3 linked regions of the Oreochromis niloticus genome follow. The protein of the gene in region 1 purifies or fractionates together with the protein of each later gene. This does not show direct contact. Links are inferred from orthologs where the notes say so. Each region holds a gene or a part of one and is shown in the gene's direction. Other genes may lie near its edges.

What was found.
Region 2: the proteins of setdb1b (region 1) and atf7ip purify together in Homo sapiens (affinity purification with mass spectrometry; 6 studies listed by BioGRID and IntAct, counting the BioPlex papers as one, with this or other methods). This does not show direct contact. The link is inferred for Oreochromis niloticus from reciprocal best matches to the Homo sapiens genes SETDB1 and ATF7IP.
Region 3: the proteins of setdb1b (region 1) and chaf1a purify together in Homo sapiens (affinity purification with western blotting; 3 studies listed by BioGRID and IntAct, with this or other methods). This does not show direct contact. The link is inferred for Oreochromis niloticus from reciprocal best matches to the Homo sapiens genes SETDB1 and CHAF1A.

What each region holds. Positions count from the first base shown.
Region 1 is NC_031976.2:21,682,946-21,690,128, forward strand, and holds the start of setdb1b (histone-lysine N-methyltransferase SETDB1-B), read left to right. Parts: upstream 1-4,179; 5' UTR 4,180-4,320; coding exon 4,321-4,337; intron 4,338-4,349; exon of another isoform or gene 4,350-4,368; intron 4,369-6,356; coding exon 6,357-6,560; intron 6,561-6,675; coding exon 6,676-6,842; intron 6,843-6,936; coding exon 6,937-6,980; intron 6,981-7,183. UniProt on the Homo sapiens protein: Histone methyltransferase that specifically trimethylates 'Lys-9' of histone H3. H3 'Lys-9' trimethylation represents a specific tag for epigenetic transcriptional repression by recruiting HP1 (CBX1, CBX3 and/or CBX5) proteins to methylated histones.
Region 2 is NC_031971.2:24,258,148-24,265,335, reverse strand, and holds the start of atf7ip (activating transcription factor 7-interacting protein 1), read left to right. Parts: upstream 1-4,091; 5' UTR 4,092-4,686; exon of another isoform or gene 4,687-4,695; intron 4,696-7,188. UniProt on the Homo sapiens protein: Recruiter that couples transcriptional factors to general transcription apparatus and thereby modulates transcription regulation and chromatin formation. Can both act as an activator or a repressor depending on the context.
Region 3 is NC_031986.2:39,743,166-39,750,615, reverse strand, and holds the start of chaf1a (chromatin assembly factor 1 subunit A), read left to right. Parts: upstream 1-4,446; 5' UTR 4,447-4,943; coding exon 4,944-5,007; intron 5,008-6,759; coding exon 6,760-6,807; intron 6,808-7,063; coding exon 7,064-7,450. Other genes in the region: scamp4 (secretory carrier-associated membrane protein 4), read right to left, coding at 2,740-2,896, 3,012-3,140, 3,419-3,425. UniProt on the Homo sapiens protein: Acts as a component of the histone chaperone complex chromatin assembly factor 1 (CAF-1), which assembles histone octamers onto DNA during replication and repair.

The sequences.
Region 1 (7,183 bases):
TAACTTCCTTGAATGTGCTCTTGATTAGATCTTATAAAGTGGTTTTTCTTAACTACGGAAATCATTCTGTCGTCATGTACTTCAGTTGCCTGCTGTGTCTTTCAGGCCTTTTGGTGTTGCTGAGCTGGTGAGTGCATTGCTTCTTTTTAACCAGATGATGCTGATTTGGCCACTCCTAAAGTTTTTGCTGTCTCTCTGGTGGGTTTATTTGGGGTTTTCAGCCTCTCGTTATCCTTCATTTGCACCCACATCTAGTAGTGTCTGTTGCTCAGAAGGTAGAGGAGGTCATTTATTAGTCGGCCTGAGGTTGGTTGGTGGTTCAATCCAGGTGTGCATGCCACAGTATTCCTGAGCAAGATACTGAAACCCAGCTTGCTGTACAGTGGGTGCACTGGAGTGTGAATGTTAGCTAGAAAGCACCTACTTAGGTAGGGAAAAAGTGCTTTTATGAATAGTGCTCGAGTAGAAAGGTGACATATAAGAACCATTTTCTATTTCTTTAAACCTCATATTGAGTGTTATTGTAAAAAGCAACCAAATGCAAGTTCATCACTTTGATCTTTCTATCTGCTTCATTTGTCATGGAAACAGGCCTCACCTGGTCATGAAACTGCGTATCAGTCAGTTATCCAATTACTTTCGAGCCTCTGAAAATGGGGGACTGTGTATAAAAATGACTGTAATTCCAAAATATTTAATGTAATGCCATTTCATTTTTGATGTCTGCAAGTACATCACTTGATTTAAAATGTACCGCAATACTGCACAGAGGCAAAAGTACAATTACTATGTCACTACCCAAATATTTCTGGGGGTGACTGTATTTCCATTGTTTATGGCATTGGTCCTTGTTTTAGTTACATCCATCCTTGCTTGAGCTTCCTTTAAACAGTTTTGTGTTCTTATTTGCAGAAAAAAAACAAAAACCACATTTGCCCGGATTGTATCCGTTTTCTTTCGCCTTTCTGTATATGAGTGAAGAGAGATCTGCGGGTATCTCCTGGGATCAGGTTCCACCTTCGTCCTTCCCTCCTCTCTTTCACAGGCTGGGGGTGAAAACGGATGGTAGTAATGCTACAACTCTTCTAAGAGAGGTTTACTGTGTCACCTCTTCAGTCTTTGGGTTGCACTTGAGTGACAGCATGTGCTGTAAATCTTGTTTTTCCAGTATCGTTTCAACAAATTCGGCTCCTCGCCTGACTTTTTAGTTGGATTCGCTGTTATTTACAAAGAGTCACTTTACTCGTTGTGTGTTTGTGTGTCTGTTAGTGGCATCAGAATACAAGCAATCTGCATTTTTTTTTGGTCAGGATCAAATTCCAAACCCTCTCAAGTGGATTGCCACTAAGGCATCATATCCTCTTTCTCCTCCTCAACCCTTTTTTCCCCTCCCTTTTCTGCATCTTGACCATCTTGTGCTCTCATCTTTCTGCCTCTTTCAGGCCATAAAGTGGCCCAAACTTCATGTGGCTGTGCAGGGGCACGTGGCACAGCAGATTGGAGGATCTCAATCTGCTCACTTGACTTGAGCAAAATTAAAAGGAAAAAAAAAACAAAAACTGTGTACAGCCACAATTTCTTCCTTGTTGTCATGTATCTACACCTTGCACTGAGAACTGAGATCCTACTCAGGTGTAATCTCCTGTAAAGGCCTCATGTCCTAAAGAGATGCCTGGGTGTTCTAATCTCAGGAACGGCCTGATTGTTACCAAACTCCTTATTAACTATGCATAGAGGACACGGTAGCCAAATGGAGCTCCGTGTGTCCATCAGTAAATCTTATCGTCGGGACGAGGATGTTAGGTGTCAGCGCAGAGAGGAAAAACAGCCAAAACAGAAGAAGAGTTGGATGATACGTGACGAACTGAAGGACGCACTTTTATCGAAGCCAACAGATGAGAAGAGAACTGTGAAGCAGATAAACTTGGGATTTATTTGGATATTTCAACATGGACCCTCCAGCCCTCCCTGTGGCCAGGCTGGATGTGGATGTAGATCTCGGGTTTGCCCTCTTCTTCTTCTTCCTCCTCTGCTTTTTCTTGTTGGTCACCATCATCCGCTGTGCTCAGATGGTGCTGGACCCTTACAGCGCAATCTCTGTAACGACATACCAGGAGGAGCAAATGGAGGAGTGATGGAGACCAGAGACCGGTTCAAGCTGTACAGATGGGATAACAGAAATAAAATCCTACACGCCACAGAATATTTTCAGGCATTTTTTGTGAATGAGTGAGTGGGGCTGAGCGGTTTGAGACCCTCTTTGAACTTTTATAAAGCTTCTACCCTACTGCAGCAGGAAAAAGTTATGCCAACAGCATCTGCACCTTCTAATCATGTAAGCGTCCATCTAAAATGTAGAGCATGTTTCATAATGTGATTTGTTGAAATGTGCATTAATGCCCCACAAGTTTCTGTAATATATCTCATAGCTTTTAAATGCTAGGACAAATTATGAGGGGGGAAAACAGTTCAATAAGTCTCGGGTGACTCTTAAGAATGAAGTGGAATCTTTTCATTGTACCAGAAAGTACACTGTGAAAAGCGGCTTAATTTCAACAAAAGCAAATCCCCTCCCTTCCACGATAATAGAGCGCAGATGTTCTCAATGCAAAACAGATGTTCAGTTCATTCCCCAAACTCTGCCACACGATGTTTTTGAGCTATTTGCGCAAACTCTCGTGCAAGCGACTTATTATCGAACAAATTGTGTAAGTAAGTTAGCTTGTAGCAGGTGTCAGTAAGTCGATGAATGGTGTCTATGTGGAAGAAAAACTGAAGAGCTTCTCTTTGTGCACAGTGGTTTTTATAATAAATATGATGTGAATATTCAGCTCACATAGCCCTCTGCATGTATTTCACAAACTGACTTCACAATCTGTTAAAGCCAATCTTTAAAATTCTAGGTTTTTAATATTTTTCACAAGTTTATTGTTTGTTTCCTTTCGTTGGGTTTGTGTTGCAGTGATGCTTTGCCGCTTCCAGCCACTCTTTCAAATGCAGGAATTCACACCCAGTGATCCTTCAGGAGAGACTAACTCATTCTAACGGTCCAAAGTTAATTAAATAATTGCTTTGCACTCACCAGACACCTTATTAGGTACACGTTGCTACTACTGGGTTGGGTTGGAACCTCTTTTGTCTTCAGACCTACCTTAATTTTTCATGGCATAGATTCAACAAGGTGCTGGAAACATTCCTCTGAGTTTTTTGGCCATATTGATGTGATAGCATCACACAGTTGCTGCGGATTCAGATTTGTTTACTGCAAATCAATGAGGCAAATCTCCCATTTCATCACATCTCTACTGGACTGAGATCTGTTGACTGTGGAGGTCATTTGAGTTCAGTGAACTCACTGTCAACTTTGTGATATGGTGTGTTATCCTGCTGGAAACAGCCATTGGATAATTGGGTATACTGCAGTCACAAAGGAACCGGCAAGACCCAGGTAGGCTGTGGTATTTAAACTATGCTCCGTTAATACTAAGGGGCACAAAGTGTGCCAAGAAAATATCCCCCACCCCTTTACACCACCAGCAGCAGCCTACACTGTTCATGTTGTGACCTTTCTACTCCATTTGATGCTCAGTTTGAACTTCCGCATCTTGACCATATTATTGTGGGATATCTGAGTTAATTAGCAGTCTAACCGGTGTACCTAATAAAGTGGCCTGATGTAATGAAAACATTTCCTGCATGGAAACACTCCATGAGATCATTGTTTAAAGCAATTTCTGTGCACATTCACACAGTTAGTTGAATCACACATGCGGTGTTTGTAAAGCTTGACTGCACTTATACTAAAACGATGATGCAATTTTATTCTTTAAATAAAAACGTTACAATGGCTTGAATTTTGTTTGTTTGTTTGAGGACTTTTGGAGCAGATTTTTTTATCATGATGAAAAGAAGGCCTCTGGGAGTTTTGTGCTCCTCCCCAGGAAATTTCAACTCAGTGACCCTTCATTTTCGTAGTTTCTGGTAAATTTTGTGCCCTATTCAGTATATATTCATGATGGTAATGTCTTTTTAATGTAACGAGAAACACAAAAATCAGGCAGCGATTGAAAATATAACTGTTGCCCTAAATAAATCCTTTATTTTTTTATGGGATCTTGGAGGAGGGACATCTCTCTGCGTCCCGTGTGCCGGACTGCACTTTTCTGAAACCTGGGTAACCCGTGTGGGCGGGTATGACCTGAACGTATCAAGCGAGCTAACACCGCCTACCTCGGTTTCCCTGACAAACAAAGCATGCACTCCCCATTGTAGCTAGCCGGTAGCATTGGCTAGTTAGCCAAATATTTGCGAGCCAAGAGGATGGAAACCGTTGAGGGGTGAGTCCTGTTTCTGGGTGAAATTTTACACGTAGGTGCAGGCGTTTCTTTGACTGCAGCTTCACGTTACGCAAATTTGTTGGTTTTTCCAGTCGCAGTCTTCACTTATTCAGCAGATGAGCCATTTTCTATGCTAGGCTAGGCTAACGAGCTAGCCTGCGCTACCTTGAGTCCTGCTCCTGTGTGGCTTCTCTCAGCTCCTCTGCACCTCTGAATAAAACGTAAATGCAGTTATGACGGTCAGCAGCAAGGCTAGGGTAAAACTGGAAATAATCGAAATCATTTAAGTGGATTTGTAATTCAGTGCATCTCCTTGCATGCTATCCAGTAGCAGCTTAGTGCATTCACTTATGCAGCTGCTGTATAATCATTTAAACTGGCGAGTAAACATTTAACTTTAAAATAATTACGTGTGTTATTACTACAAACTGCTTCTGTCTTTGCTGCCTTTATCCGGACTGCAGTTTCTAGTTTGAAGTAGCATATAAACAAAGCCAGCCGTGACATGTTGTAGTCGCATTTTAAACTCATGTGAGCATGCCCAGCATCAACTGCAGCGTCAGATCAGTTTAAAAATTTGCTTCTCACTGATGTTTTTAATTGTTCTGACTTTGCCACAGAGGAACATGTAGGTTTCTGTATGCTAAGGTGAAGCGAATGATGCAAACATGCACTGCACAAGCATGCACACCAGCTCATATCTGCAGAAAACAGCATTTATGTTACCTGGAGTTGTGAGTTATGTGCTTTGGCTGTGATGTCAGCTCCATTAGCTTATAGCTTACATGTGTATCCTTATCAGACACTTCCTCACAATCCAACAAACCTTCCTGCTCAGTCTGAGTCAGAGCCAACACTTTACAGTAGGCAAAGTTTCTCTCAGAAGGATCTCAGGTTTCCAGGTGTCTCTTTAACTTCCTTGGTACCGTGTTGACTGTTGGAGTAGTTCCTCTTGACAGTTTGTGTGTATGTGGTTTTCTCCACACAAGAGGATGATCAGTTTCACCTCCTCAGACGTGTTATCCTCTTCAATATCAAGTTTAAGGTGTCAGTCAGGGCCCTTGGTGTTTAGTGAATTTAAATTTCATTCATGACTTTCTGTGCAGTTACAGTATTACTGTTTGGTTGACACAAATTTCCCAGGCACACCTGGACTTGCCTCAAAGAGCACCAGAGTGCTTCGCCACGACGTGTGGCGACTGCTGATAGAGACGGAGGATCAGAGATGCACTGGTGGTTACTGTTTATGTGTGTGTGGCTGGTGTTGATGTGATAAATGTGGTACTTTATAGGGGTGATCATAAAAAACAGCGCATTACAAACTCAGTAATGTAGTAGTTACATGTGGAAACTCCATTTTTGTTGCACAACGTCATATTTGCTTAGCCCAGCATGAAACTTGAATGAAAATAACATTTTTCCTAATTTATTTTGACCAAGAATTTCACATTAAGAAGTACTCTACATGTTTTAATTTGAATTATTGCGAAATACAACTATGTACCGTTCAGAAATTGTTTTTTTATTAGTAGGTACTCAAATATGGGAATTTACATGATAGCTTTTAATTGTTATCTGATTTTATTTATTTGTTTTTAATTTACCTTGCAGATAGTCAGACAGTTTTTGATTTGTCTGTGCCAAATTACAGATCCTGATTCGCTTTTCGGCCAGTATACTTCAGCTTGCCTATCAAAGGTTGCACATCACATGTGCTGTCACAGGGCAAAAATAATATCCAGCTTATTTGAGCACAGTTGGGCAGATAACAAAGAAGTAAATGATTAACTACACATAAGCGAATTTACTCAGTATTTGTTATGTGTCACGTGTCTGAAAGAAAAAAGCAACATATCAGCTGAAATATCAGAATATTCTACTTTTTATCACCAAATATCAATATTAGTCTTGAAAAATCCTACGTCGTGTGCGAGAGAACGTTAACGGGCAAATGTGAAGGAATCTTTGGAAGAAGGAGCAATAAATACACACTGAGATGTTTCTGTGCTCCTTTCCCAGAATGGAGGTGGACGGCTGGGACTCCAGTCTGGAGGAAGAGCTGGGTGTTTCTTTGGACGAGCTGAAGAAATGGATTGAAGAAGCTGTGGAGAAGAGCGAGATTGTGCAGAAGAAAAAGGCTCAGTTGTCAGAACTGAAGGAATGGGTGGAGCAGAAGGAGGAGGAGGAGGCTAGGACAGAGAAGCTTCTCCGTGATGCCAACCAGTGAGCGGGAATTAAGATATTTCTTTCATTTTGATCAAACGCTGTGTCTTTATTGGTGTACAAACTAATTCTTCTACACTTCTCGCTCACTTCTTTCCTCCCCCCTCTTCCTCAGGTCCGTACTGGAGTGTGAGAAACTGGTGAAGGCAACTTACCGAAAGAACGGCCTCGTCTACCGAGAGAGCAGCTCGGAGGACGAGGGAGGCGGAGCTGTGTTGTCCTCTGAAGTCATCGAGATAGACGATGATGACGACGACGATGACGTTATTGCTGTTGGCTGTTGTAAGTCGGGCTGTTTAGTTATGAAGATGCACGGATGTAATGGAGTGATTGTGCCTGATTAATGATTTGTTTGTCTTCCATCCTTCATTTTCAGTGGTTCTTCCGAAGAAGCCTATAACTCCAGTCAAAGATCCAGTGGTGAGAGCAACGCAAAGCATTGCTGTGTTGATCTGTTATATCTGTCTGTTTGAGGAGAAATTATTTTCATTTTGCTGATTGATAGCTGTTAGCTGGTTCAGTTTTTCCTGACATCTAACAAATGGATTGGTGGACGTGACTGATAAAGCCTCTGAGAAAAGCAAAACACTCTCTCTTGCTGGATTTAATCCAGATTAACCAAA
Region 2 (7,188 bases), on another chromosome or scaffold:
AGCTAGTTACTGTCTGTCTTTTTGTTGTTCTTTCATTTTATGGCAGGTATTAAGCAGCGATAAGCTGCGAAAATGCCACCTACTACGCTGGAACATTATTGGAAAGGTCCTAGCATTGTTTACAATAGTACCATATGTTTTCTGAACTTTTTAGTTTAAGAAATGCTAACTCATAAGCATGCTAGACAAAAGATGACAATGACGGAGAAATAATTCCCAAGAGCAGGAAGAACAGGATAATCAGGTCTAGCAATGAGAAAAGACACAGAGACCGCGATGACCCATTACTGACTTAAAAGCAGTAAAACTGTAATGTTTCATATTTGTTTATGTCTATACACATGCACAGGGTTACATCTATACAACCAGTCTTAGCAGATATTAATTAGTAAATCATGGTGATTGTTTTTTGCCACAGTCCTGTTGTTTTTATTTTTCTACCAGCAATTAGGATGAAATTTACTAAACAGACTGATGTACCCAAGAACATTTTTTTCATTATTTTTAAACAATTAATAAAGCTTGTTTCATCTTCAGGCTAAACATTTAAACACAAAGTATCTGGAACCATGGCTGTAAATGAGCAGGCTTGTTATCCAAGGAGGGACGCCCTTTTTCACATGACTCAGCTTCCTGTATTGCTACCTCAAGGTCTTCATAGAAAACTTTACGATTTTAGCGACAATACAGGCAAGGAGATGTTTTTTTTTTCTTCTTCTACTGCTGGAAAGCATGAAAATCAATTTTATGTATATAAAATGTAAACCCTTCCTCTAGATGTCACTAGACCAACAACATCTGGACATTTTTGCTAATACTAGTCTCTAGCTTCAGTTTCAAACCTTATTTTTATATAGTGATCAAAATATTTTGCTACGTTAACTTATGAACTAACACTGTTCAACGTGTTGAAATTCTGTGTGAAAATGTGGATAAAATATTAAGTGGGTGTAAATCATGTTTACATGTAAAGATTTTATGCATGTGTGCAGGTACGTGGGTCTGGGTAAGTTTTAATATTGTATTGATAACTAGTAATTATAAGACAATGGCTTTCAGGCAATGCTTAGGAGGAACAGGTCGTACAATTAGTTACTAATGGGAGTAAAACTGTGTTTATTTTAAAGAAACAAGTAACTTACAATAGGTCACTTTTTGATTTACAATCCCAACAGTGTTTTTATGTCTGCCTCAGCACCGGTGACCAGATTTTGTCAACAGAACAGCACCGCAACCTTGAAATAACTTAAAAACTTTACCTATGAGATCAAAAGAAGGCGGCTCAACGGTGGGTGTGGTTTGGAAACTTTGTGTTATTGTATTTTATTTTTGCACAAATGTAGAGGTATGTTCTCCACTCTTATAAAGGTCCATTTCAGTAACAGATTCAGTGTTTTACATAAACTGTTTTCACAAATCCATCTGGAATAATCAGTTTGGGATGCTATTTACACTTCTCTGACATGAAGCACATGGCAGGAAACAGTCCTCTTCCCACATGCACTACTGTAAATACCGCATGGTTAGGGAAGGGAGCTGACTGAATGCAGGAAGCACATGACAACCAGACTATTACCAACACGCATTAGCGTAAACTGACCTTACGTGGACTTTGTATTGGGAAGACGGCAAATTAAAGACTGACTAAAGTTCGATTCGAAACTTTGCACCCTTTGTTGTGCTGATAAAGAGCTTTAGTTAATTTTTAATATGATTTTCTGGCGTTCTCTTGTTTACGCTGAGACTCTAAAGGACATGGCACACCATGTAGACACATTGGCTGGCAGATCGTGAATGTGGTTTACTGTGAGCTACAGTTTCTGTGGTGTACCTTTATCATTGGCTTTGTAGCTGACTTGTCATGTTCAGCTAAGGTTAAAAACAGTGTGTGCGGATGGTGGTTAAAGCTAAATTTCATGTGGGCTTTGGTATTAAACTATATTAAAAATGATCATCCAGAATTGTTTGTTCGTTCCAGAATTGTTTCTATTTGAAACAGACAACATAGTTTTTGTGGAGGTTTATTTAGCTTGTTAGTTTAAGTTTAGCTTCACAAAGTCAATAAAATTATACCGAAAACAAGTGTCTGTTCCTCATGCCTACCCAAAATCTCCCTCTGCTATAAACAAGCACTACAATACATGCAGAAGTTTGGACACCTCAAGGCAAATTAAACGTTTATTAAATTTCAAAGTAAAAAGATGAATAAAGCCCTTCGGGGAAACTAAATGTGTCATTTAATTATATATTTAACTGACACACCCAAACATTCAAGGAAACTCTCAGAGGTCAGCATTAATTAACTCATTAGGTCTCATACAGTTCAAGTATGCATCCCGCCTGTCACCCTATGATAGCTGGGATAGGCTCCAGCGTTCCCTGGCGTCCCTGAAGAGAGTGGGTGAATGGACTTGTACCGACAAATTTTCTGACCACTCAAACTTTGCTCTCCTACTTAGGAAATCTCGAGTTAAGCTAACTGACACTTAAAAGACTATTATAATATCATTAAGAATGGTAATTTACAGGAACACTGTAGAAGTGCTGGGCAGAAAGCCCGACTGAAAACTCCATATGATGACAAGGGACCCGGATCAGCATCGGTAAAGGGAGACCTTACCTACGCACAGACGACCTCTGGATAAGCCAACGCCTTTCTGAAAGCTCAATTAAGGTCCTCAGCTGAGACTGCAACCTTGCAAATCTTAGCAAAGGTATATTTGGAGGAAATAGGAACATGGAAAAATTCTGCTTTCAGGCTGGAGAAGAATGGACCCTGTTATAAATACATGTATACACAAAAAACACCACTCAAGAACTCACAATTATCAACAAGGAGAATTATGTGAAAGTGTGCGTACTTCAAACTAATGCATACAAATGTAGTTTTTTTATTACTGCAGGAAGTCAAGCCTGCTGTGGGGTTTTAATAAGCAAATTTGTGGCTACAGATGAGTGTGTAAAGACAGAGAGAAACAAATGCGCTTATTGAGATTTATTTTTTTAAATAAAGAGGCATGTGTACAGACAGCTTTATAACTCTGCCGAAACATACAAGCTCACCTGGCGTTATAGTGAGATTTCCAGCATTAGGAACTTTAAAAAATCCTGACAAAAATATTGAAAAGTACTCTAATTTTAAAAGGATTTATTCCTCACTTGCACGGGTAACTATGCAAAAATACTTCTACCATCAAAGCAGCGTGTTATGATTTATTGAGGACTCTAAACGGTGATTCACGAAACTCAGAGCTTCAGCTATGCAGGCTATTTTCAGGCTGCTTGTGCTGCCTAAGCGAAGGGAAATCTAAATGCTTTTCATTGCTGTGTGTTCAATTTATGCCCCAATATCAGTGTATGAGGACTAAGCTACAGTGTAGCCTAGCTGATATGACCACAGGGGGTGACTTGTCTAAGCTCAAGGCTGCTTTCTTCAGCACTGCAGACATGTCTGGTGTGCAAAAGGGTGTGAGAAAGAGAGAGACAAGCAGGCTCTTGGGGAGCACAGATACCAGCTCCCCTGCTCCCAAACACATGGATTCTGCTGCAAAGGGACTCAGACAACACGCGGTGCAAAGGTTTAAGCTATTCCTTTTCTGGAATACCAACAAACATGAGAATATAAGAACACTATAACTCACCCCCTGCTGGCCTCTTAGGGAACAGCAAGTTCCTCAAGCACAAGTGAGTGCACAAAATGGCTGACCTGAATTAATGCTTTGTGATCTCAGAAGGAAATGACTGTAAAAAGGCTGTTGTTTCTAATAAATAACATAACATAACTACTCGCTGGGACCTTCAGGTGGACTCTTCTCATGTGTGCACTTCCGTGTAGAAAGTGCAACACTTCAAGGTGCCTAACACCCTGCATAACCACCATGCTTGCAGATGCAGCAGGTCATGTGTAACTGTAAGTGTAGGTTTACAAAACTACAATCACACCACTGTCTGTAGTTAGGTTACAGACAAATTTTCAGGCTGTTGTTTGGCAGAAGGCTCCTCCCCCTCCCTATAACCCCTTCCCCTTAGCATTAATGTCTCTGGGCTCTGTCTGGACACCCCTCCCCCTCCACGCCAATGTTCAGCTGCCTGTTCTCTACCACTCATTGGCTCTGTGTCTGTCTCAAACCTGCTCCTGCTGCTGCAGGGTAACTACAAGCTGCAGCACATTTTCTTTGAGTCCTGCATATCCTCCGTACTAACCGACCTAAAACATCCTACAGCGATTCATATACATACCTTGCCTGCTTTTATCTACCGACTTCAGCACGGTGAACAACAGGATGCTTTAAAAAACCCCGAGTGAACCACTCAGACTGCATCTCTGGACTGCGCGACCGTTAGTCGTTTAACGACCAATCCCCCTCCCGCTCGCAACGTCAGCCGTTGGAGTTTTTTTGTGCGTGCGCGAAAGGAGGAGGAGTCTGTTCGCGAGTCAGAGGGTGCTCGGAGCACTCGGTTGAATCCGCGAACACAACAGTTGTTGTTGTGGCACAGTTCACTAGTTTCCCCGGTTCATCTTGAGAACGTGGACTTGATGCAGCACTGATAACGCATCCCGAGAGCACCGGTGCTTCACACAGGGGGTCCGTAAGAGTTGGTTTGGACACCAGCGGGTGAGGAGGAGACCGTACGGAACGAAGCTTAAAATCGCGGGAACATCGGAGGACAGCGTAGAGAAATTCGGTGAGTGAGGTACTGCAGTTAGCATGCTACCCAAACAGCTTATTTGTACTTTTATTTAATAGCAGTGAATGCCATCCTTTATGGAACTTGTGGTTCTGAATAGAAATATTTGATATGAATTAGGAAAAAAAAAAATCTGTTAATGGTAGTTGGCTGCGTACAATGCAACAGTGACCCCTACAGACCGGGATTACAGCAGACATGCATAATGAAAACCCTGTTAGCTAGCAGTGTCAATGTTCGCTAAATGAATAATGGTATATTGAAACTGTTTTTTTCTTTCTATCGATATTACAGAGTGAAAACATTTTATTTGCAGCTTTTATTTACAGACATTTTTTTATTTTATTTTTTCGGTAATGGGTTATATTCGATTAGTTTTTTTTTGTGTGCGTGTTAGAAAAGTCGTTCGCATAACCAGTCCGGAATCATAACATCCATGTATGCTAGCATTAAACTGTAAATTGAAATGAATGCTGATAAATCTTACATTGGTTATTCAGGTAGTTTTTTTTTAGTTTTTTTATTGCATACAGCATATATTTTAGAACTTTTGAGCCTTAAAAAATTTACGTGTCTATTCTTTGATTTCTGATGAACGTTATGAAACAAGTCGTCTTTATCTTTAGTTATATGAATAACAGTCACTTTACTATCTGCTGATTCAAGAAAGAGTTCTTACATCTCTCAAGTAATCAAATACTTTAAGTTTGCTTCCCAGTTCAGAATGTGGAAATGCACACTTGTGTCTCTGATGTGTTCGTACCTCATTTTATGACTTTTTAGGGAAAGTTCTACAAAGTCAATGTAGTCATGTTGGTGCTAGGAAGCAGCGAATATGATCAGCATGCTGCATGTTGAAATAACAAAAAACTTTGTGGCGTCCGTTATTGATCTTCTGTGGATGCTAAATGAACATTTGGTGTTTTTTATAAAATACACAAAAGTTTTTTAGCTCTTACTAGATGGTATCCCTGAATTCACTGCTACAGTATAATCTTTTTAACTTAGCTGTCTAAAGTGACTAGAAGTGAGTAGGAGAAAGCTGCATTCCTCATATTGAGCAGCTGAACCCGCCCCCTCCCCCTCTTGGTTTAAAGTGGTACAATCCAGTAATTTTCCATTTCACTCTCCTAGGATGTGGGTGTGGCCTAAAGTCAATGATCAGAAAAGAGTTGAGCAGGTTTAGTTTTTTACCTGCCAGTGAGTTTACTTAAAAACTGAAATCTCCACCTTTTATGGTTTTAGTGGAAAGATGGAAAGATGTACATGATCACTACACTGCACTAAAGATCAGACACCAAATGTCTTGGGCAATTTCTCAGTTTTCAGTGTTGTAGTCTTTCATCATATTTTCCAACATCTTACATATTTAAAAAAAAATCAGTTCATATAAAGTCCAGAGTTTCATATTTGCTTTTAATTTTTTGAATCATGTCTTGTTTCTTGTTTCACCTCCCCCTCTTCACTTCTGCAGTGCTCACATGGTGCACTTGTAATTCATTACAGAGACAGTTGTTTCCCTACAGAACAGGAAGCAGCCCTTAAAGGCACAACCTGTTTTTTTTGTTTTTAAGCTTTTTTTTCGATTTTACGTAAAGTTATATTTGACTTTGTTGTAGCTATTTATTCTGCTTTTCCTGTAATCCAGGTTTTTGCAATTACTGTAACAGTAATATGCTATGCTACATTTTGTAGTTTTACCTGTGTTCGCTTTAAGATTGTATTTAGTTTGGATGTGTGTTTCAACCGGTACCCTTTTGGTTGCAAAAAACCAGAGTTAATGATTAAGCCCTAAACTCTGCACGAAAATGTTTAGTGGTCAAAACAAACGTTTCCCCCCCCCCATAGATCTCTGTAGAACCAGAGGTTCTTTTTGCAGCCACAACTGTCACCTTCTGGTAGCTGTCAGATAGAAGCCGCTTCCAGATTGGCTTCATATATGTTAGAAATGCGTAAAACAAAAAATGTCAGCTAGCAGTGGCAGTGGCCAATGATAAATTAATTGCCTTCTAATACCATAGAATTGATCATATTACACCGGTAGTTTTTTAAAATTCTGATTAATATGACATCAAATGTTAAAGCAAACAACAAAAAGCTACTTAAACATTGTTACTGTTTTTGTTCATAACGAACTGTTTCAGGTGGGAAAAACTACCTTGTTATTCACAAGGATACATTGGAAAAAGGACAAGAAAGAGTTGTCCTCACATCTCTCCCTGTGCACAGTTATCTGCCACACTGAATCAAAAATCTGTTAATAATGAATTTTCTCCCAAGTTTCGCAATTGGAAAGGTACATTTGTGTCTTGGGTATGTTCGTACCTCACTTCAAGACATTAAAGGCCAGTCCTACAACATCAGTGTAACGCCGTGTTGATGCTAGGAAGCTGCAGACATAATCAGTGTGCTGCAAAGGTGGTAATTTGGGCGAGGGACAAAAAGAATGACAGTGTAGTTGTTTATCTTGAGATAGAAACTAATGAAGAAAGTGCAAAA
Region 3 (7,450 bases), on another chromosome or scaffold:
AATAAGAAAGAAAAGTATGTCTTTGTGCCCCCTTTTCCCTGTTAATGCCCTATCGGCCCCTCTGGCTAAACTTTACTAGATCCGCCCCTGGACAGTTACCAGCCGTCAGCTGCGTAGAAAAGGATCCTGGTGTAGAAAGTAATATTAAATAAATTCTATCAACAGCTTATCAAGCTTAAATGTGCTGCTGTTGTTTATCCGCTAGTTTCCTGTTTCTGGCGCAAAGTGGGCGATAAACAAACAAGAGAGACGGGACTCGCGACAGAAAAGCCGATCAGCTGATCATTGATCAGTTTCATGATTGAAGTAGCAGCAGGAGAGGGAGGGAGAGAAGAAGAGGTAGTCCCTCCATATATGGGTTTTTAAGCTTAATGTGGGAATGCTTTACAAACATTCAGAGATGAAATTACACACTTGCTTTACTTCTCTGGGATAGCTTTCTCGGAGATGAAATTCCGGTTTTGTAGCGAGGCTCCAAATGCTCAACCAGACCGCCGAGAGGTCTCGCACGCCCCAGCTGCTCTATCACGTGACGCATACTGCTCCGACGTGCTAAAGTGATGAGCTGGAGTTTTTTGAGGTGCTTTTGTGATATTTAATGGATCGGATTACATTTTTTATTTCTCTCCGATATCCGATCCAGTAATTTAGCTCAGTATCGGACCGGTCCATCCCTAATTGAGATAGCTGTAAAGCTCAACTAGAAGCTTCAAGCTATGGATGTTGTAATCCGATAACCTTGAATTCATGTGGATATAGTACACATGAAGCATTCATTTCACTGTTTAGTTTTTTTTTTTAAAACTATTTGGTAATAAGTACCAATTGAAAAAGTTTTTTCATCACAAGTTAAGTTTGTTTCCTCCACCCCAAAAAACAAAATAACTTATTCAGGAACATGTCCTTTATATTCAAATTGTTCTGCATTTAAAGGTTATAACCTCTTACTGTAATGTACAGATCAAATTCATAATAAAATTAATCAAATATACACAAAAAGTATCCCATGCCAAGATGTTCTGGTCAGTCTGAAAACCGATTGTCATTTTAAATATCTCTATATAGCCTTATTATTACTTTGAGCTTCAGATGAATCTATTACCTTGAAGGAAAGGTCAGAGATTAACTGTAACATGATATTATAAATCTTTATAAAGTACGTTCTATATGTTGACAACACACCCCACACTAGTTTCTAAGTTAAAAGGCTTTTGGTCAATTTTCAACCAATAAATCCTTAAGCTGACCTTAAAGACCTTGGCGGAGGGAAGTAAAATTTTAATGGATTATTGATATGACGCCACTCCACACGCTTAGAAAGTTTTACCATAATTTATGATAAACTTTTTAAGCCATCATGTTTACAGAGAGAGTGACATACATGCATGCACGCAAATGCTAACAAAAACATAAATGTCCCTGGTGGATACGATCATAATCTTCCTCATCTTTCCTGAGCATACTGACACAAAATTACACATGCAGATATAAGTAGTACGTAAACCCTTGAAACTGAGAGCTTTGAATGAGATATATAATCTTCAGGAAATACTTTTAGACCATTTTTCTTGACACGTGGTGCAAGCAGCTCTCTTAAGCTCACTCAACATCTAACTGATTCAAAGCTATGACTTTTTTAAGAGACATAAAAAGCCTAGATGTCTTCTAATTTAATGCTTCTAAATTAAGATAAAACCAAGTTTATTTTACTTTAAAAAGCTTAGAAACACAGTGTTTAACCAGATACTTACTCTGAATGGCATTACCTTGGCTAAGGAATCCTGGAGTCATTTTTGACCAGGATATGTGCTTCAATGCGCATATTTACCAAATATGCCGCACTGCTTTCTTGCATTTGCGCAATATGTCTAAAATTAGAATTGTCATGTCTAAGAGTCATGGTGAAAAAGTAGTTCATGCATCTTTATTTGTAGGCTCGAGTACTGTAATTCATTATTATCGGGTTGTTCTAAAAGCACCCTGAAAAACCTTCAGTTGATCTTAAAACTCATATATAATGACCCTATTGTTTACAATACTTTTAGTATTGCCCACAGCAAAGGAAATACAAATAACAGCATATAATGCTGCATAATCCATGGGTGCGATTGTTTTTTCTCCCCTCACCAGTTTTGTTAACTGGGTTAATGGTTGGTTTTTTTAACTGGGTTAGCAAACCAGGCCTCTGTGACATGGGCCTGAATTACTTAATTTAATTATTTGTGTACAATGCTGAAAACTATTGGGTTTAAGAATTCATGCAGCCGCTAACAATTAACTGGAACTGCAGCCCTGGAAAGATAACAGGGGTGTTCTTTAAAAAAAAAAGAAAAGTGAAGAGTAAAAGTGGAACCAGTAAAACCTGCACCTTTTGGCATAGCTCTGGAATAATGAAGCTAGATACAGATCACTTTTTATTTTCCCTTGATCTATATTATGTCTATTGCTGCTTTTTAAGCATTCCAGACTCGAAAACAAAACAAAACAGTTTTTGCCGTAGAGCCTTTGCTCATTATAACCTTCTTCTTTGGAACATGCTTGAAAACCTTTCGTTTTTCTCTCTGCCAGTTTTACTCCCTGGGTAAACATTTGACTTTGATAATGCATCATCTGAGTTCTTTTTTCCATTTATAAGAACTTTTTAATGTACATCTGATGTTATGCTGAAGTTGTAATTTATGCATCTGTGTAACCAGAAGCTGCTCATAAATTTGTGGCAATTACTAAATGATAACTGACCTGAAAGCTTTGTAGAGTGGTCGGAACCAGCAGGTGTAACTACAGGGGCAGAAGAGGATGAGCCAAAGCAGGGCAAAGCCAAAGTTTGTGGCACCTCCACCCCCGGCCCACCAAGCAATACATCCGATCAAATTTACGCTCAGTGTTCCTGAATACACTGCAAAGAGGAGAGATGAGCATGCGTGAAAAAAAGAAAGGGAAATCAGTACTTTCTCTGCAAAAATGGAAGGAATCCATGTGCTTCCTGTTCTGAAGAAACTGAAGACACTTACTCATCCAGAGGATATAGACTCTGTGCACCAGCAGCTGGTGGGGCCCAGGTATTTCCTCTTCAATGTTCTGGTAAAAACATGGCTTTATTTTTACAAACTTGGGCAGGGGTGGAAAGTTATTGGCCCGCTCTGAAACAAGAAGCAAGATTACATCATCAGAGTACTGTCATGGTAATACTTTTTATTTGAATATATCTGAATACAGTGCAGGGAGGGAGAGAGAGAAACTGAGGGATAGTGGAGTTGTACTTTAAATAAGAAGATTTCAAACATGAGGCTTGGAGGCCAAAACTGGCCTGCTACAGGGGTCCAATGTGGCCCACTGGAAGGTTTTTGCAGGGTGTAAAATTTGTATTCCAAGTACTTTGCAGCCCACCCCTTCTTTAGATAGACAGATAGTGACAAACCTGCCATTTTGAAATTCCACGTCTTCCCTGAAAAAGAGGAATATACAAAAAAGAGACGTAAATCTCCACACATTTTTAAATTTTATATTTAACTGCCATTAATTTTTCTGCCAGTGCTAACCTTGATTATCATACTACAAATGCACGTTAACCTTCGACCACTTGCAGGAGCAGTAAACCCTCTAATTAGTTCTAACTGCAAATTTCAACTTTGCTCAAATTGTATATCAGTTTCAATACGCCAACAGGAACACGTTCATGTTTTACCAATACCAACGTGAAGTTATTAACTGTTTGCTTTACATGAGACATTTTAGAGTTGATAGCAGCTAAGGCGTGTTTCTAAGCAGTTAGTTGTCGTACAGTAGCAGATATAAGCTCAGTGACTCTTTATCTCACGCTGCTGCTTTGTTTGAATAGCAATGGTCTGCAGTCGAAAAGGCGTGAAAAAGCACAACAAAAGAACAGCAAAGACACGTCGGTTTTACCGGGGTAACAGAATTTCCTCGCGGTTCGGTCGACGACACCGGTGGGGTCCTGGAATCATTTAAGAATCGCATGCGCTTTTTCGACCCATCATCTGCGACTGCGCTACCCGTTCAGCACTTGTAGTTCAAAACTGTTTATATTCGGCAAGTACAGGGGAGCAGTAGAACTACACGTCCCAGCAGCCATTCGAGCGGTAAACGGAAAACGCGTGACTTCAACATGACATCGTTTCCACCCAGTCCTCTCTCTGTAAACAGTATAGGAGAGGCCTTTTTAATCTTAAAGTAGAGAAATGAAAACCTCATTAACATATTCATAAACATTTAGCAGCTTTCTTGACACAAAAAAACTGCTGGTCCGGGACACTGGGATAGTCGGGAGTTTATACCGGCCCATTCTTTTATTTCACACAACATGGCAACCATGACTTCAGAAAGTCAAACTCTTCGGCCAATCACAGAGCCCGAATCATCAGCTACACTGGGCGTTCTTTGGTTCATAGCATCAGGTGTCCACTATGGAGTGGCCAGTGTCGGCATAATAAAGTTAAATTGGTTTTAGACCACTGAATGACATGAGAGAATAGACTTTTATTGTTACAGTTCACATCTTAAATACTATCAGACAGTGTCTAGAACTCTCTTTCTACCAAGAACTCGTAACTTTATAAAACGTGAACGGTAGCATAAACGTGCAGCGCAGTAGTACAAATCAAACAGCCCCTTGGCAGCCGGTAACTTCTTTTGGACCAATCAGTGAGGAGCATTGATGGAAGTAACAGGCTCCCGCCAATTCCGACTCAGGAGCGCGAGGCAGGCAGCAGGGTAAACCGGGGGAGCATGTAGGAGCTGTAGGAAGGAGTATGCGTTATGTTTTATGTGAAATAAATTAGATATACATGTCGTTTGAATAGCAGCACAATATTGGTTTGCTACCGCGGTGTATTTTCGGGTGTTAACGTGAACCTTGAGGGTATTTTGAAGTCGCTTTGTCGGAGAACACAGCTAACGACAGAAGCCCCGGGTTAGTGGTTGGGATGTTGGCGGCTGAAAACCCATCGGTGGAAGGACATTTGGCAGCATCGACTCCTCGTAGAAGAGGTAATGCTACGGCCCTGAATGCCATTACAGCACACATACGTTTACATGTATATCATAGACAAAGTACAGTTTTGTCTTAACTACGCACAGAGTTGACAAACTGACAAAACTGTCATTTGCGTACTATAAAGTTATCCAACGCTAAAAATAGTTTTATCTCGCGAGGCTATTTAATGTTAGGTAATGCCAATGGCACGAGACACACACGGATTGTTTTAAAAAAAATATACACTATTGTCTTGAATCATTCAAGTCTGCTATGTGCAGCTAACCTGCTACTTTGCTGTTCTAATGTCACTTAACGCCAATCCGAAATTCTTTAGAGTCAGATAACGTTTAAATTAGTTAAGCTAGGCTTCGGTTGGTCGGTATTTGTATCCATCCAACTCTAACTGGCAATTAAAGGCATTTAACCGAATGACAGTTGTATTTTTTTGCTCTACTTTGCAGCTCAAAGCTCTGCCTCAGGTGCTTAGCTAAAGCTGCTAGGCTAGATGCTTAGCAGCAAACATGAAAGCCGGGGTCACAGTTAACGCGTCAAAGCTGCTCCCTTCCCTTCAGCTTTACACACATTGACGTTTTGAGGCTGCTGTAACTGTGTCGTGTTGTTACGACCATCCTCGGTTGTTATTTGGAGGTTTCAGCTCAGTGCTTCGGCAGGCAAAACTTAACTTGACAGACCCAACTGAGGCGCTTGCCCGGTGGACTCTACCGGGCCTTGTTGCACCGATGCATACGCCGGTTGGCGGGAGAGCCAGCCAAACATAGCTACTATACTCGGTGTAATGTTGTTGTTGCAGCGTATTGTGCCGTTAATACAGCACATTCAAGCGCTACTTTTACTCTCAGATAAATACATTTAATGCCAATCGATTAGTATTGTTTTTCCGACTGTTGTTATGACACTAGTCAGTAAATGTTATTTTACTACAAGCAGAGTCTTAACACTAAAAAGCGGTTTAGTGGGTTTGCCAGTGTTTTGTTTTTTAAATGGATAAATATAATTTTTTGTGTGGGTATGGCTATTGTTAAAGATTTTATTGATGAATGCCAATATCGGTCTGATAACGGGTCCACTTCTCCTAAAGTCTGATCACTCTGCTGGGAGTGGGGAGGGGGAAGTAGGCCTCAACAGGTTACCAGCATGAGTGTAACTGTTTTATTGTGTGTACATACGAAAAAACGTTAAACGCTGTGTTTTAAGTATTACTTGCAATAGCAGTCATTTTCCAAAGACAGCTGGGATAGGCTCCAAGATAGATAATGATACTTGGAAGTTTAAAACCTGTTCAGTATTTTTTTTTCAGTCCATCAAAACCATTTCAAGTGCCTTGATGTGACTGTTGTGAATTGGCACTGTATCAATACAACTGATTTGAATTGGAGCTTAGAAAGCAATTTATTTGCTTCTAAAAGGCACAGATGTTTCAAATATTCCAACTAATTACAGTCACTTGTCTCGAAGCTTATTAATTACTTTTGCCATTGGTGACATGTTTTTACATCACAAAACAGTGCTCCTAAACTGTTTCCACAGAAATTCCCTTTCTCTACTTAAAGATTTATCAGAAATAAATAAAGAATTGATAAAGTATTGCTGAAGTAAGTATTAATATTTATAAAATCTTATTATATAATTTTTTTTTCCTTCTTGTTGAGCACTTTCACTGGCGGGTTATTTAAAACAAATTAATATCATGAAGTGACATTTTACTTTAATTATCTTTTAATGTGTCTGTTTTCATTTTTCAGGCATGGATTGTAAGTCAAGTAACAATGCCAGCAAGAAACTTGTACAAGGTAAATGCAATGTTTAATTTTTACTTCTACATTTTGTGAAACATATTACCCTTGACAATGAGAAATGAGACAATGCAGATTAAATGTTTCATAATTTCTGTACTGTAAAATTATACTTTGCACTAACAGTGCCTGTTACTTACCTCTAGACTTTATGTATTACTTTTTCCCTCATCAATATATTGAATCAAAATTGTGTCTTGCATCATACACAGTGGTGCAGCTCCAAATGATCTGTATTTTCTTCTGTCTCCAGCCCGTCTTCCTTTCAAGCGCTTGAACCCTGAACCTAAAGAGAACCAGCCACCTAAGCGCCCCTGTGCCCATTCCTGCCCTGAACCTGAAGTCTCAGACAGGGAGAATGAGAATGCATCCTCTCCTCTTTCTGTGCGCAGTGGCCCACCTTTGGTTAACGGTCGTGGGCCACTTGATGGCTTCATAAGCCGCAGACGCGCCGCAACTTCAGATGAGAACATGATTATAGATCTGACTGAGGACAACACGTCATCTCCTTTAAAGCCCCTTGCATCATCTGCTTCAACCTCTCCCTGCGTTTCAGCAAAAGATAAGCATCACTGCAAAGACACAACGGCTTCGCCTGAGAAGTCCTGCAGTGCTAATGACGCTCCTAAAACGCAAACAT